3 linked regions of the Macaca mulatta genome follow. The protein of the gene in region 3 binds, or shares a complex with, the protein of the main gene of each other region. Links are inferred from orthologs where the notes say so. Each region holds a gene or a part of one and is shown on either strand. Other genes may lie near its edges.

Region 1 (3,955 bases), on a different chromosome or scaffold from region 3:
GAAGACACACTATTTACCTATAATTGCAAACCAAAAAGAAAAGTGGCAAATGGCAGCTTAGACATTCTCTGGCTAAATGTTGTAGGTAGCATATAATAGAGTGTTAAAGCAGAAATGTGTCTTGCCTATAGACTGGACCTTTCTAGATATAAAGTAAGAGAAGTATCAAGGTTTTTTTTTTTTTTTTTTTTTTTTTTGAGACAGAGTCTGGCTCTGTCGCCAGGCTGGAGTGCAGTGGCGTGATCTTGGCTCACTGCAATCTCTGCCTCCCGGGTTCAAGCGATTCTTCTGCCTCAGCCTCCTGAGTAGCTGGGATTACAGGCGCCGCGTTCGGCTAATTTTTTTTAGTATTTTTAGTAGAGACGGGGTTTCACCATGTTGGCCAGGCTGGTCTCGATCTCCTGACCTCGTGATCCACTTGCCTCGGCATCCCAAAGTGCTGGGATTACAGGATTACAGGCGAGAGCCACGCACCGGGCCGAGATGTATCAAGTTTTTTTTTTTTTTTTTTTGGAACGGAGTCTTGCTCTGTCGCCCAGGCTGGAGTGCAGTGGCGCGATCTCCGCTCACTGCAAGCTCCGCCTCCTGGGTTCACGCCATTCTCCTGCCTCAGCCTCCCGAGTAGCTGGGACTACAGGCACCCGCCACCATGCCCGGCTAATTTCTTGTATTTTTAGTAGAGACGGGGTTTCACTGTGTTAGCCAGGATGGTCTCGATTTCCTGACCTCGTGATCTGCCCGCCTCGGCCTCCCAAAGTGCTGGGATTACAGGTGTGAGCCACCGTGCTCGGCCAATGTATCAAGTTTCATGTTTTAATTATATACAACTTTGTGAGAATGTTCAACAGTATCCCAACTGGGAACTGTTGGCTTAATGGATTTGAATTAAATAAATGTTTGTCTTTGAAGCAAAATAAGAAGTAAATATTTAAAATTTATCAAACAAGTTTAAGAGTCACTTATCAGTACTGCAGCTGAAACTCTATAGTCAAAACAGCAGGTTTAAGCCAGGGCAAAAAATTTGTCACACGAGGAGAAAACAGTTGCAATTTCACTCAGTTGATCAAATTAAAAAAATAGTAAGTTAATAAAAGTAACCAAGGACTGTGAAAAGTCACATGTCTATTTATAAGACTGCAACAAGCTTATCAAATGTGTAAAACTCTTTACTTAAATGTTGCACATTTTATCACCCAGGAAGCAACGCAATGCACACACTGTCTTAAACATACAAATGACAAAGAATGACAAAGAAATTCCCTTTTTATTTCAGTTACCAGAACTCACCTTTATTGTCAAGGAATACATAACCATCAAAGCGATCCCTGAACAAAATAATGTCCTCTTGGTTTTTAAAGTTGATGTATGCTCTGGCATACATATGAGGATACAAACTGCAGAGAGGAAAGCAATTATGTAAATGTATTTGCAGGTGTCTGGCCCAATTACAAGTATGCATATATTAAAGACAAGCTCAAAAATTAAATGGAAAACAGTAGGATAAAAAGAGTGAAAGAAACCTTTTTCATTTACCCCTTTCCTTTTTTTTTTTTTTTTTTTTTACCTCGTATCATTAGAAAAAAACTCAAAATAATCATGCTCAGGCATAGGTTGAAGATGTTCCTGAAGCTGCTCCTTGGTCAAAGTGGGAGGTAATCTTCGAATTACCACCTTAAGAAATGCATAAGGAAAATAAAATTAGTAAAAATCAATTTTCTCTCATACCTGAAAGAATCACAGTTCCTGAAGAAGACTGGGCTTTTTAAAATATGAGATCACTTGTAAAAACCCAGGAGAAAATATTCTGCAGCCCAATGCTCAGAAGTAGTCAAAGATAATAGTAACGCGGTTAAAAAAAAAAAAAAAACGCTTGGAAATGAGAACCACCTGGAGCAGGGAAAAATCTCAGGTTTTGCTCTTTACAGCAGCCCTGCAGTTTACCAGGTTTGTGCATCATTTTCGATCACCCATTTTTTAACAGATCTAGTGGCAAGAAATTAGTAAGCCAACCCTGGTCTTTGTGGGTGCCACGAAATCTTGATTTAGTAACAAGTTTCTCCCACGTCCAACACATCTTAAAACAAAATCCTTGCCCATTGAACTTAAGAATTCAAAACTCTAACGAATACAAAAAATCCACCCATTGCTCTCAAAATAGTATGCTCTCGATCTACCCTCCCGTACCATTAATCACCCTGAACTCTCCCCCAACTCGCCTCCATGAATAATATTGCCATCCCTCATGTCTCCTTCAGTATTTAATATTTCTCCCCAATTACACCTTTAGTTCCTCATTCTTTATACCGTCGCTCTCTCTTCCCATTATCACCTCACAGCTCTGACCTAAACCCTTCCCGTTTGGGGAGTCCCCCCTTTTCCTCACCCCTACCCAGGATTTGGCCGGGAGGGGCTCTCCCCATTTCGGGAGAAAGGATAAACCAGGATGGTGCGACTTCCATTCAGGCGAAGAGAAGAAGGGGAACCTGAGAGAGAAAGGGGCCGGCCCCATTCCCAGCCATCCTCCCCGCGCTGCGGACCCGTCCCGCCCTCTCCCGGGCCAGCGGCCGACCGGGCACCTTGCTCAGCGCTTCTTTCTTCTCCTTGTTGCGATCCTGCTTATCTTCCCCCTTGGAGCTGTCCCCCGAGGTCCCACCACCGCTGCCTGTGGCCCCGGCGGGGGTTAACAAGGTTACTCGCTTCTCCTTAGGCCTGTGCTCCTTCTCTTCCTTCATGGCTACGTCCCCCGCTGAAGCGGCTCGGCCGGAACGGGGCTACCCCGGGCACCAACGGCTCCAGGGAAGCTCCCGTCAAAGCTCCGCCCCCAACAAATGCCCCTTATGATAAGTCGGGCCCCACGTTCCACTGGGGCCTGCCAAGCTCTCGCGAGACTTGGGCCTTTCCCAGTGCAAAGGTTTTAACACCTGGTTTTTACTTCCCGCCCGCCAAGTTCCTGTGTCACCCAATCCCCTCGCGGCGCAGACTCCCTCTGGGCCCGCCCCTTCGCGCGTCATTAGCAACTCCGCCATCTTGAAGTGACTCTGTCGGGGACTACAAGTCCCGGCATGCAAAGCAGCTGCCCGCTTTTGTTGGGCGTTCAGGAGCCAGAGGTATCTCAGGGTCCCTGTTTGTAAGTAAATCGAATCCTTTCATCTTCAGAGTTTTTCAGGTCGAAAGATACGTTCTGCACGCTTAGTTTCCATCGGATAAACTCAATGCCGTCCAAATTTTGCCTCACTAGGGGAGCGACTTGTATATTTTGTCTTTGAATTCAGAGGCTTTAGAATTTATTTTCCTACAACTCAAAGAAAGAGCCTAACATTTAAAAAAATTTATTTTCCTTATATTGATTAGGATTTACAGATACTTAGTAAACACTACAATATTAGCCGAGTTCAGTGGCGCGCGCCTGTATTCCCAGCTGCTAGGGAAGGCTGAGAAGGGAGGATCTTGAGCCCAGGAATTCGAGGCTGCAGTGAGCCATGATCGCGCCACTGCACTCCAGCTTGGGCGACAGAGCGAGACCCTGTATCTAAAAAAGAAGGATAATAATAAATAAACACAAGATACTGATATTTAAAGGAGTAATATGGGCCGGGCGCGGTGGCTCAAGCCTGTAATCCCAGCACTTTGGGAGGCCGAGACGGGCGGATCACGAGGTCAGGAGATCGAGACCATCCTGGCTAACACGGTGAAACCCCGTCTCTACTAAAAAATACAAAAAACTAGCCGGGCGAGGTGGCGGGCACCTGTAGTCCCAGCTACTTGGGAGGCTGAGGCAGGAGAATGGCGTAAACCCGGGAGGCGGAGCTTGCAGTGAGCTGAGATCCGGCCACTGCACTCCAGCTCGGGTGACAGAGCGAGACTCCGTCTCAAAAAAAAAAAAAAAAAAGGAGTAATATGACCAAAATATACGAGATTTGTTTTCATCACCTTATTTTACAAAAGGATCATTCTC
Region 2 (4,317 bases), on a different chromosome or scaffold from region 3:
ATATAGGGTCATTTTTACGGCCTATTTTCTTAAGCTACATCATGAACTAGAAAGAGAATCTGCACTAACATTCAAGTTTGTTATATGTATGTATTGGTGTTAAGTGCATTACACAGAGAATTTAATCTAATCTGTAAAACAATCCTAAAAATCAGGTTTTATTCTCTCACCTATTCATAAGAGAGAAAACAAAGTTAAGTAACTTAAACATGGGAGATTCAGACCTAGATCTACTTTCTTTTAATACTCAGGCTTTCTCCACTACAAAAAAATGTTCCTTTTTTTCCTTCAAATGTATGCATACAATTATATTGTAGACATTTTAGAATTATGACTAAGAAGGATACAAACGATGCTTCTGGATCGAAGTTGATGAGTTTGTTAGCTAGTTTATATTTAATTTTAATCCATCATGATTTGTGTATTATCTGATGTATGCTTCCCCTTATGGCTAGTCAGTTGCCCAGACACAGCTATAATGTGCAGCAGTTACTCTAAAATGATAGAAATGCCAGTCTTTGATGGCTTGGCACCAGGCGTAGTGGCTCACGCCTGTAATCCCAGCACTTCGGGAGGCCGAGACAGGTGGACTACCTGAGGTTAGCAGTTCGAGACCAGTCTGGCCAACATGGAGAAACCCCATCTCTACTAAAAATACGAAAAAGTAGCCGGGCATGGTGGCACATGCCTCCAATCCCAGCTTCTCGGGAGGCTGAGGCAGGAGAACCGCTTCAATCCAGGAGGCAGAGGTTGCAGTGAGCTGAGATCGCACCACTGCACTGCAGCCTGGGTGACAGAGCAACACTCTGTCTCAAAAAAAAGAAAGAAAGAAAAGAAAGAAAAAAAGAAAAGAAAAAGAAAAAGAAAGAGAAAGAAAGAAAGAAAGAAAGAAAGAAAGAAAGAAAGAAAGAAAGAAAGAAAGAAGGAAAGAAAGAAAAAGAAAGAAAGAAAGAAAGAGAAAGAAAGAGGAAGGAAGGAAGGAAGGAAGGAAGGAAGGAAGGAAGGAAGGAAGGAAGGAAGGAAGGAAGGAAGGCAGGCAGGCAGGCAGGCAGGCAGGTCTTCGGGAGACTCAATATTACCAATAGAAGAAGTATGTGTAACAGTGCAGTGGCAGATACATTGATTAGAACCACTGTTCTAGCATAAAACTTCCCTGATAATATTCAGGTGCTTAATTTATGTGACCTGCTAAAAGTAATAGAGACAAGCTTGACGGTGTTCACAGGCAGAGGAACTGAAAATAATACTACATAAAGAATAGATGAATTCAGGTAAATTTAGCTGAATTTATGGGGAGAGTAAGGTCGAATACAGTGATTAAGGTTTCTAAATAATTGCAGGGCTGGCACGGTGGCTCATGCGTGTAATCCCAGGACTTCGGGCGGCTGAGGCTGGTGAATCTCTTGACCTTAGGGGTTTGAGGACAGCCTGGGCAACATGCGGAAACCCATCTCTACAACAACAACAACAACAACAAAGGAGATGGGCGAGGTGGCACTGGCCTGTATTTCCAGCACCTCGGGAGGCTGAGGTGAAGGATCACTTGAGCTTGGGAGGCGGAGGTTGCAGTGAGCTGAGATCGTGCCACTGCACTCAGATCTGAGTGACAGAGTGAGACTCTGTTTCAAAGTAATAATTGCAGGACTGTAGTTCACGTGAGTTCTGCCTGAAATGCTTGATACTCTTCTCCTTTCCTAATATACGTTTCTCCTCTAATTTTTTATTCTTGCTCTCACAGAACATTGTCCAAAGCCTGCTTATTAATATACCTACTGCTTTATAGTTAAATGTCTGTGTCCCCACCAAGACAAATCTCTTTGAGTTAAATTTGTCTTACTCATTAGTGTACCTTCAAATTTTGTATTTGCTTGTTGCCCAGCAAAAAACGTGCATTTAAAAAAAACCAAAACATATATATCCAAATGAACTTTCTTGTTGCAGGTAGGCAGGACCAATGTAACATTCTCTAATAGCGCTGTCAGAAAACAAATTGTTGCACGCTACTGGGGTAGCAGTTTCACCTCGTCCTCTGCTCTCACTGCTCTGGAAGTCTGTTTTTTTCTCTCAAAGGCCAAGTCTCTCATTTCGAGACTCATCTCAAGAGTGTCTTCCTCTAGGAAGATTTTCCTGACTCCCTCCTGTGGAACTTTACATCTCCCCTCTTTTTTGGTACTCTTCATGCGTCCTGTGGTGAACAATTATACGTAGACACCTAAAACATATTATTATTCTCATTTGTTAACACGTCGGGCTCCTCCCCTTCAAAGAACACACACAGCCTGAATGAAGAAAAGGTACTGGTCACCACAAGATTTTATTCATCCATTGGACCACCCGCTGATGGGGGTGTTTTCAAAAAAGTGCTAGCATTTTTAATCCAGGTCAACAATCTACAGAGTCCCTTCTGGTGCAGTTACAGAATTCTGATTACTGTAAGTTCGACTTTTCAGTTTGCGACAGGATTAGCTTTAATTTATTGCAATTAGTTCTCTTTCATTTATAAAACCAACTTAGGCCTCCTCTATTCTTAAGCTCCTATTTCCTTCGAGGGAAGCAGTGGCCTCCGCCCCCTGTACCCTCCACACCACCCGGCCTCCCCTCGCCTCCTCCACGGCCTCTCGGTCTCGCTCCCCTTTCCCAGCACCGCGTGCCGTGGGCCTCTTCTCACCGTCCGGCCGAAATTCGAACTCCAGAAACTCGTGCCCAAACTTGCCCTTGTGCCCTACGTAGTAGCGCAGGTAGAAATCGCTAGCCATAGCCATTTTTGTCCCCGAGAAGCCCGCCGAAAACCCAGCCAACGTGTCCCCCGGCGCCTTGTAGTCACGTCATCGCGCGGAATAAGTGCGTCACCACAGGCGCTTCTCTTCCGCCTGCCGTGCAGTCCTGGACTAAAGCATGAAAGCCGAGTCTCGCGTGAGAGGCCAGTTGGTGCTGAAGGGAGAGTCGCATGCCGTGACTTTCTCTTTACTAGGATTGGAGGCACATTATTTTCAAAATAAAGATTACATTATATTAGCAAATATTAGAAATGTGAGCATATGATAGTATTTTTTATCGACTTAGAGCTAAATTAGGTTTGCAAGTGGCTTTTACTTTTCTGGTCTCCCAGTCCTCGGGGCGTTTGTGAGGTGGGTGTGGCTCTATTCCCCCTTTAACTGGGAGCTAAATAAAGATAAAGCTTAGAATAGAGATGGCAGACCGGGAATATAAACCATTTTTCTTACTTGATTTCTAACAGGGTGCTTTCCCCTTTGAATAACGATTGGTAGTTGCCCCGGACCTATAAGCCTATAATAATAGAGACAAAGTCAAAGGAATCCATCACAGCAAAGAACTTAAGAGATCTCATTTGATCTCTCAAGAATTCTGTGAGCTTGGCAATGTAGATTGCTGTATATGCCTTAGGCTGAAGAACAAACAGGCTTAGAGATAGTCACTAGCCCGAGGTTAGGTAGCTGTAAGTGTTGGGATTGAATCCCAGGTCTTCTCACCACCACTTTCTACTAAAAATCACTGACGGTGATTTCAGTGGGACAAAACTGGCTTAAAGTCTTAAAACACACACCCCCTACGCCTGAAAAACCCTGACTGTCACCGTGCTGTTTTTTAACAGCAGAACTTCTATGGTTCTTAATTCATTCAGTAAGGGTTAACTTTTAGTAGCCTGTGGAGTTTTGGCAATTTGACTTAAGATACAACAATGGTTTAGCCCATTACTGTTTCTCGCCAGATATAATTAAATTGGAGGAATGAAAGAATGCTCCATTGTGGCATAGTTTTTAAGGTAAGGGAAAGACTTTTACACAAAGTCTGCTTTTTAAATATTATTGATCACCCTTTTGTTATCAACACAGAGAGTAATCCTCTCTGCTGGTTGACAACCTTCAGTGATTTTTGTAGAAAGTGGTGGTGAGAAGACCTGGGATTCAATCCCAACACTTACAGCTACCTAACCTCGGGCAAGTGACTCTCTAAGCCTGTTTATTCATCAGCCTAAGGCATATACAGCAATCTACATTGCCAAGCTCACAGAATTCTTGAGAGATCAAATGAGATATGTAAAATAAGCTTTAAATTTTATAAAACGTTAGTTTTAACAAACATTTCCTATGTGACAGTTTGAAACTAGAAATAAAAAGGCATTTGCACTGGTAGTCTAGAAAAGAAAGCAAACTTGTAAGGCAAATATCGGCACAATGGAGCAATTGCTATAATTAAGAATATATGTGCCATTCTGGCCAACATGGTGAAACCCCGTCTCTACTATAAATACCAAAAACTTAGCTGGGCGTGGTGGCGTGTGCCTGTAGTCCCAGT
Region 3 (3,884 bases):
TATACCAATACTTCCCCCAGCCCAGGACTTGGTATAGTTATACTGACATCTGATGGCATATTACCTTGGGAAACTTACTTGCCAAACACAAAGGAAGCCATAAAGAATACTAGATGCTCATGTGAATAAGCAGCATCTCTCTGCTTCTCTGTCCCTGACACTTCCAATCTAAGGGATGGCATGATATCCTGGTAATCTATGTGGTTAAAAAAGATAACTGATGGGGAGTGCAGACACATTTATGGCCTCAAAGGGGCTCCTCATCTCTCTGGGCTTCTGTTTCACAAGTCTGGGCTGACCTGAGTTGTGACCGTGACCCTGTGGGGGAATTAGGGAGTCCTCTTCCCTCCCTCCCAAATCAAGACTCATGCAAAACATTGGCAAGAGAGCCAAGTTTACAGTCTAAATTTTATTATCTCCAAGTCACAATGCTGATCACAAATGGGCACCCTTTAAAACAGTAACAAAAAACACCACCACACATGGAAAAATCCTTGCAACTAAACACAGTGGACCAACAGAGACAACTCTCACAGTGTCTTAAGGTCTGGGAATCTGGGCATGCTGCCCACAGGCTTGAGGAGACATCTTCAGGTTTAAGGCAAAGGGAACAGCCTACAAAAGGCACAACCACCAGCTACCCCTGGAAGAATCTCTTAGTTATTTCCTCCTTGGGGGTTACAGATTAAATGCCCCTTCCCCCTCTCCACGCCACACCTGTGACTCGAGTGGTTAGGCCAGCTGCTAGAGGGAAGGAATAAAAACAGACAGTGACATTACCGGGGAGAGACACAGCCACCATCTTCGCCCTCAGGTTCTGTAGAAGGACAGGGACAGTGGCCAAGTTACCCCTGGCGGACAGAAGTACTGCAGTAATAGGAATCTCTTCCGCAGAGGCAGCAGAGAAGTGGTTTAGTGCCATGGATAGCAAGGAAAGATAGGAGCCCTTGCCCAGAAGGTGACTGGCTTCCTTAGGCCTTAAGCCCAGGTGTAGTATCTTCTGTTTGCAAGGACAAAAGTAGAATTCGGGGAAAATAAGGTAGTAACATCTAAAACACTTGTAGCAGAGAAGACGTGGAGAAGAGCAATTGCAAAGGATGGGGTAGACTGCTTGCTGGATGATATTTGCCTTTAAAGAGATGCATTGGTCCACAGCAACTGGAAAGGGAGTGTAGCAAGAAGAATGGAAAGAAGAGAAGCAAGGCCCTCTAATTCCACTTACCTCAAAAGACTGCGCCCCGAGGACTATGTGAATACACACCCCTAAGGGCAAAGGCTCTCACTCCACCATCCCTTTCTCACAAAAGCATCTGGTTTGCCATCTCTCCCCACAGTAGGGTATTTGCCCTCAGCAGAGAACAGAAGTCCACCATAGTACAGGTACTGATGGATGCTCAGACTCCTAAAAACCTAAGTCAAAGAGAAGGACTCCTACCCACCTATTCTGAGCTTTTCTGCACAATAGGACCCTCTGTGCAGACAGCCATGCTTCCACAGGGTTAGAGTTAAGGGAATACAAGTATACAAGAGGATAACAAACGCCAACTAAAAGTGAAAGGCCAGGTCTTTTTAGCCTTGGTGAGGAAGGCTAGCTGATACATTCTCCATTATCTGGGATGCAGGGAAGAGTCAAAAGGGAATCCAGAGGGGCCAGCAAACCAGAAGAATGGACTTGTTTCATTTAAAGGCAGGGAGAGCAAGAAACAGAGACAAAGAGAAAAAACCAAAATAATATTAAGGATAAGAAGCCAGGCTTTAAAAATGAACATCTTAGAAAACAAAACAAACAGGAAGGAGCTTCCTTGAGAACAGAAGACACTTCAATTTCCCAGAAGAAAGTGAACAGCAGAAGACATGGGCTTCTGGATCTAGACTCAGAAGCTTGGGGCTGTCTGGCTCTGCTCCCCCGAACACAGCCAACTCAAGTGAAGAGTGAAGATGGGACGAGGTCCACTTGTTTCTCCCTCTCTCCAGAGCCTGTCCTTAGAGGAAGGCAGGGGTCCTCCTCTTTCAGCTGTTTGCTGGTAGAAGCCATAACCTATATCTTTGAAGCCCTTCTGGTAGTAGATAGCCAGCTGTATTTCTCTTCTCCCCTGAGTTCTCACCTCTGCCGTTCTGACAGGGGTTGGAAAAAGGGAAGAACCACCAAAGTGTTAGTGGGCCGTCTGGGCATTTACAAGCTGTTTACAAAAAGCCACATTTCTAGATAATGTGTATTAAGTAATGTCCTTAAACAAAATAAAAGCAACAAAACCCCCAGTCTTTCTCCTCTATGATCTTTAGAACTGGTTTTTTCTGCTATAACATCTCAAATTTAGATTTCCCTTTTCCTTTACTGCCTTCCTGTATTTTTTCCTTGTAGCTTCTAAATTGAAAATTGTCATGTAACAGTCGTTTCTACTTCAACCCTGCCCCATACACTTGCCACACAAACAAACTGGCAAATTTCAGGACTCCTTTAAGCCTCCTGAGATATCCCATGATTATTATAATTTAAAGCATTAATTAGAAGCCAGGCGGGGTGGCTCACGCCTGTAAGTCCAGCACTTTGGGAGGCCAAGGCAGGAAGATCACCTGAGGTTAGGAGTTCAAGATCAGCCTGGCCAATATGGTGAAACCCCATTTCTACTAAAAATACAAAAACTAGTCAGGTGTGGTCGTGCATGCCTATAATCCTAGCTACTCAGGAGGCTGAGGCAAGAGCAATGCTTGAACTCAGGAGATGGAGGTTGCAGTGAGCTGAGATTGTGCCACTGCACTCCAGCCTGGGTAACGGACTGAGACTCCATCTCAAAAAAAAAAAAAAAAAAGCATTAATTAGTGATTTTTGTTTGTTAAGCAAGTGTAAGCATTAGTTTTAAGAATATTCACAGTAAGTTGTGCACTTACTTTTATATGATGTTAAGATTTAAAATATTCAGAAACTCATATTAACTGGAACCCCTGCTTACAACCTGAAATAATAAAGTTGGAATTTGTTATCAGGTCATACCAAAGACTGTTTTCCAGAGAAACACACCCAGAAAAATGAGGGAAATCCTCTGGGGAGAAGGAAAGCCCACTGACGGAGCATGTGCACTAAGTATGGGAAGGAGCTCTCATACCTCAGGTGGAGGGGGCTTGATGGTGACTGGCTGGGGAGTCCTCCGTGGTGGGGAGGGCTTTGGTTGCACCTGCTGCTGGGCGGGGTTATAGTAGGTCACTCCTCCATATACCTGTGATGGGGCCTGGACCCCACAAGCCAGGAGAAGAAAAAGTTAGGAATGAATTCATCCAACCTATGATGAACAGGAAATATTATTCATCCACAAGAGTACTGGGGAATTTATAATTTTAAAAATATCTGATCTGCCCACCCTTCAAAATAAAGTGACTATTCATTTTTGCCTTAATTCGTCATTATTTTGCTCTGGTTTTTATTTCTTCAAAGTACTGCCCAGCTTTCTCTAATTCTTAACATCAGCTGACAATTGGAAAAGGCTGAGTTCAGTAGCGACACTACAGATACTTGATTATGTCAATGTGGTGGAAGTTAAGCAGGACAGAGGTGGGGTGATAAGGAGTAGAATACAGCTTCTTTATGCAAGAGTGAAAAGCAGGTATTGCCACCTATGAAGTACCACAACACAGGAAAGAAACACCATTAAAGAAACTGAACGCTGGGTGCGGTGGCTCATGCCTGTAATCCCAGCACTTTCGGAGGCTGAGGCAGGTGGATCGGTTGAGGTCAGGAGTTTGAGACCAGCTTGGCCAACATGGTGAAACCCCGTCTCTACTAGAAACACAAAAATTAGCGGGGCGTGGTGGCAGGCGCTGTAATCCCAGCTACTCGGGAGGCTGAGGCAGGAGAATTGCTTGAACCCAAGAGGTGGAGGTTGCAGTAA

The links. Proteins that work in one complex are often made in the same cells at the same time.
Region 1: CASC3 (region 3) and UPF3B share a complex: the UniProt entries of both Homo sapiens proteins name them as parts of the mRNA splicing-dependent exon junction complex. The link is inferred for Macaca mulatta from reciprocal best matches to the Homo sapiens genes CASC3 and UPF3B.
Region 2: CASC3 (region 3) and MAGOHB share a complex: the UniProt entries of both Homo sapiens proteins name them as parts of the mRNA splicing-dependent exon junction complex. The link is inferred for Macaca mulatta from reciprocal best matches to the Homo sapiens genes CASC3 and MAGOHB.

Annotation. Positions count from the first base shown.
Region 1 is NC_133426.1:126,336,587-126,340,541, forward strand, and holds the start of UPF3B (regulator of nonsense transcripts 3B), read right to left. Parts: upstream 2,813-3,955; 5' UTR 2,733-2,812; coding exon 2,577-2,732; intron 1,672-2,576; coding exon 1,565-1,671; intron 1,395-1,564; coding exon 1,288-1,394; intron 1-1,287. UniProt on the Homo sapiens protein: Involved in nonsense-mediated decay (NMD) of mRNAs containing premature stop codons by associating with the nuclear exon junction complex (EJC) and serving as link between the EJC core and NMD machinery.
Region 2 is NC_133416.1:9,993,893-9,998,209, reverse strand, and holds the start of MAGOHB (protein mago nashi homolog 2), read right to left. Parts: upstream 2,813-4,317; 5' UTR 2,763-2,812; coding exon 2,669-2,762; intron 1-2,668. UniProt on the Homo sapiens protein: Required for pre-mRNA splicing as component of the spliceosome. Plays a redundant role with MAGOH in the exon junction complex and in the nonsense-mediated decay (NMD) pathway.
Region 3 is NC_133421.1:64,543,602-64,547,485, reverse strand, and holds the end of CASC3 (protein CASC3), read right to left. Parts: intron 3,228-3,884; coding exon 3,105-3,227; intron 2,955-3,104; coding exon 2,931-2,954; 3' UTR 2,890-2,930; intron 2,790-2,889; exon of another isoform or gene 2,116-2,789; 3' UTR 503-2,115; downstream 1-502. UniProt on the Homo sapiens protein: Required for pre-mRNA splicing as component of the spliceosome. Core component of the splicing-dependent multiprotein exon junction complex (EJC) deposited at splice junctions on mRNAs.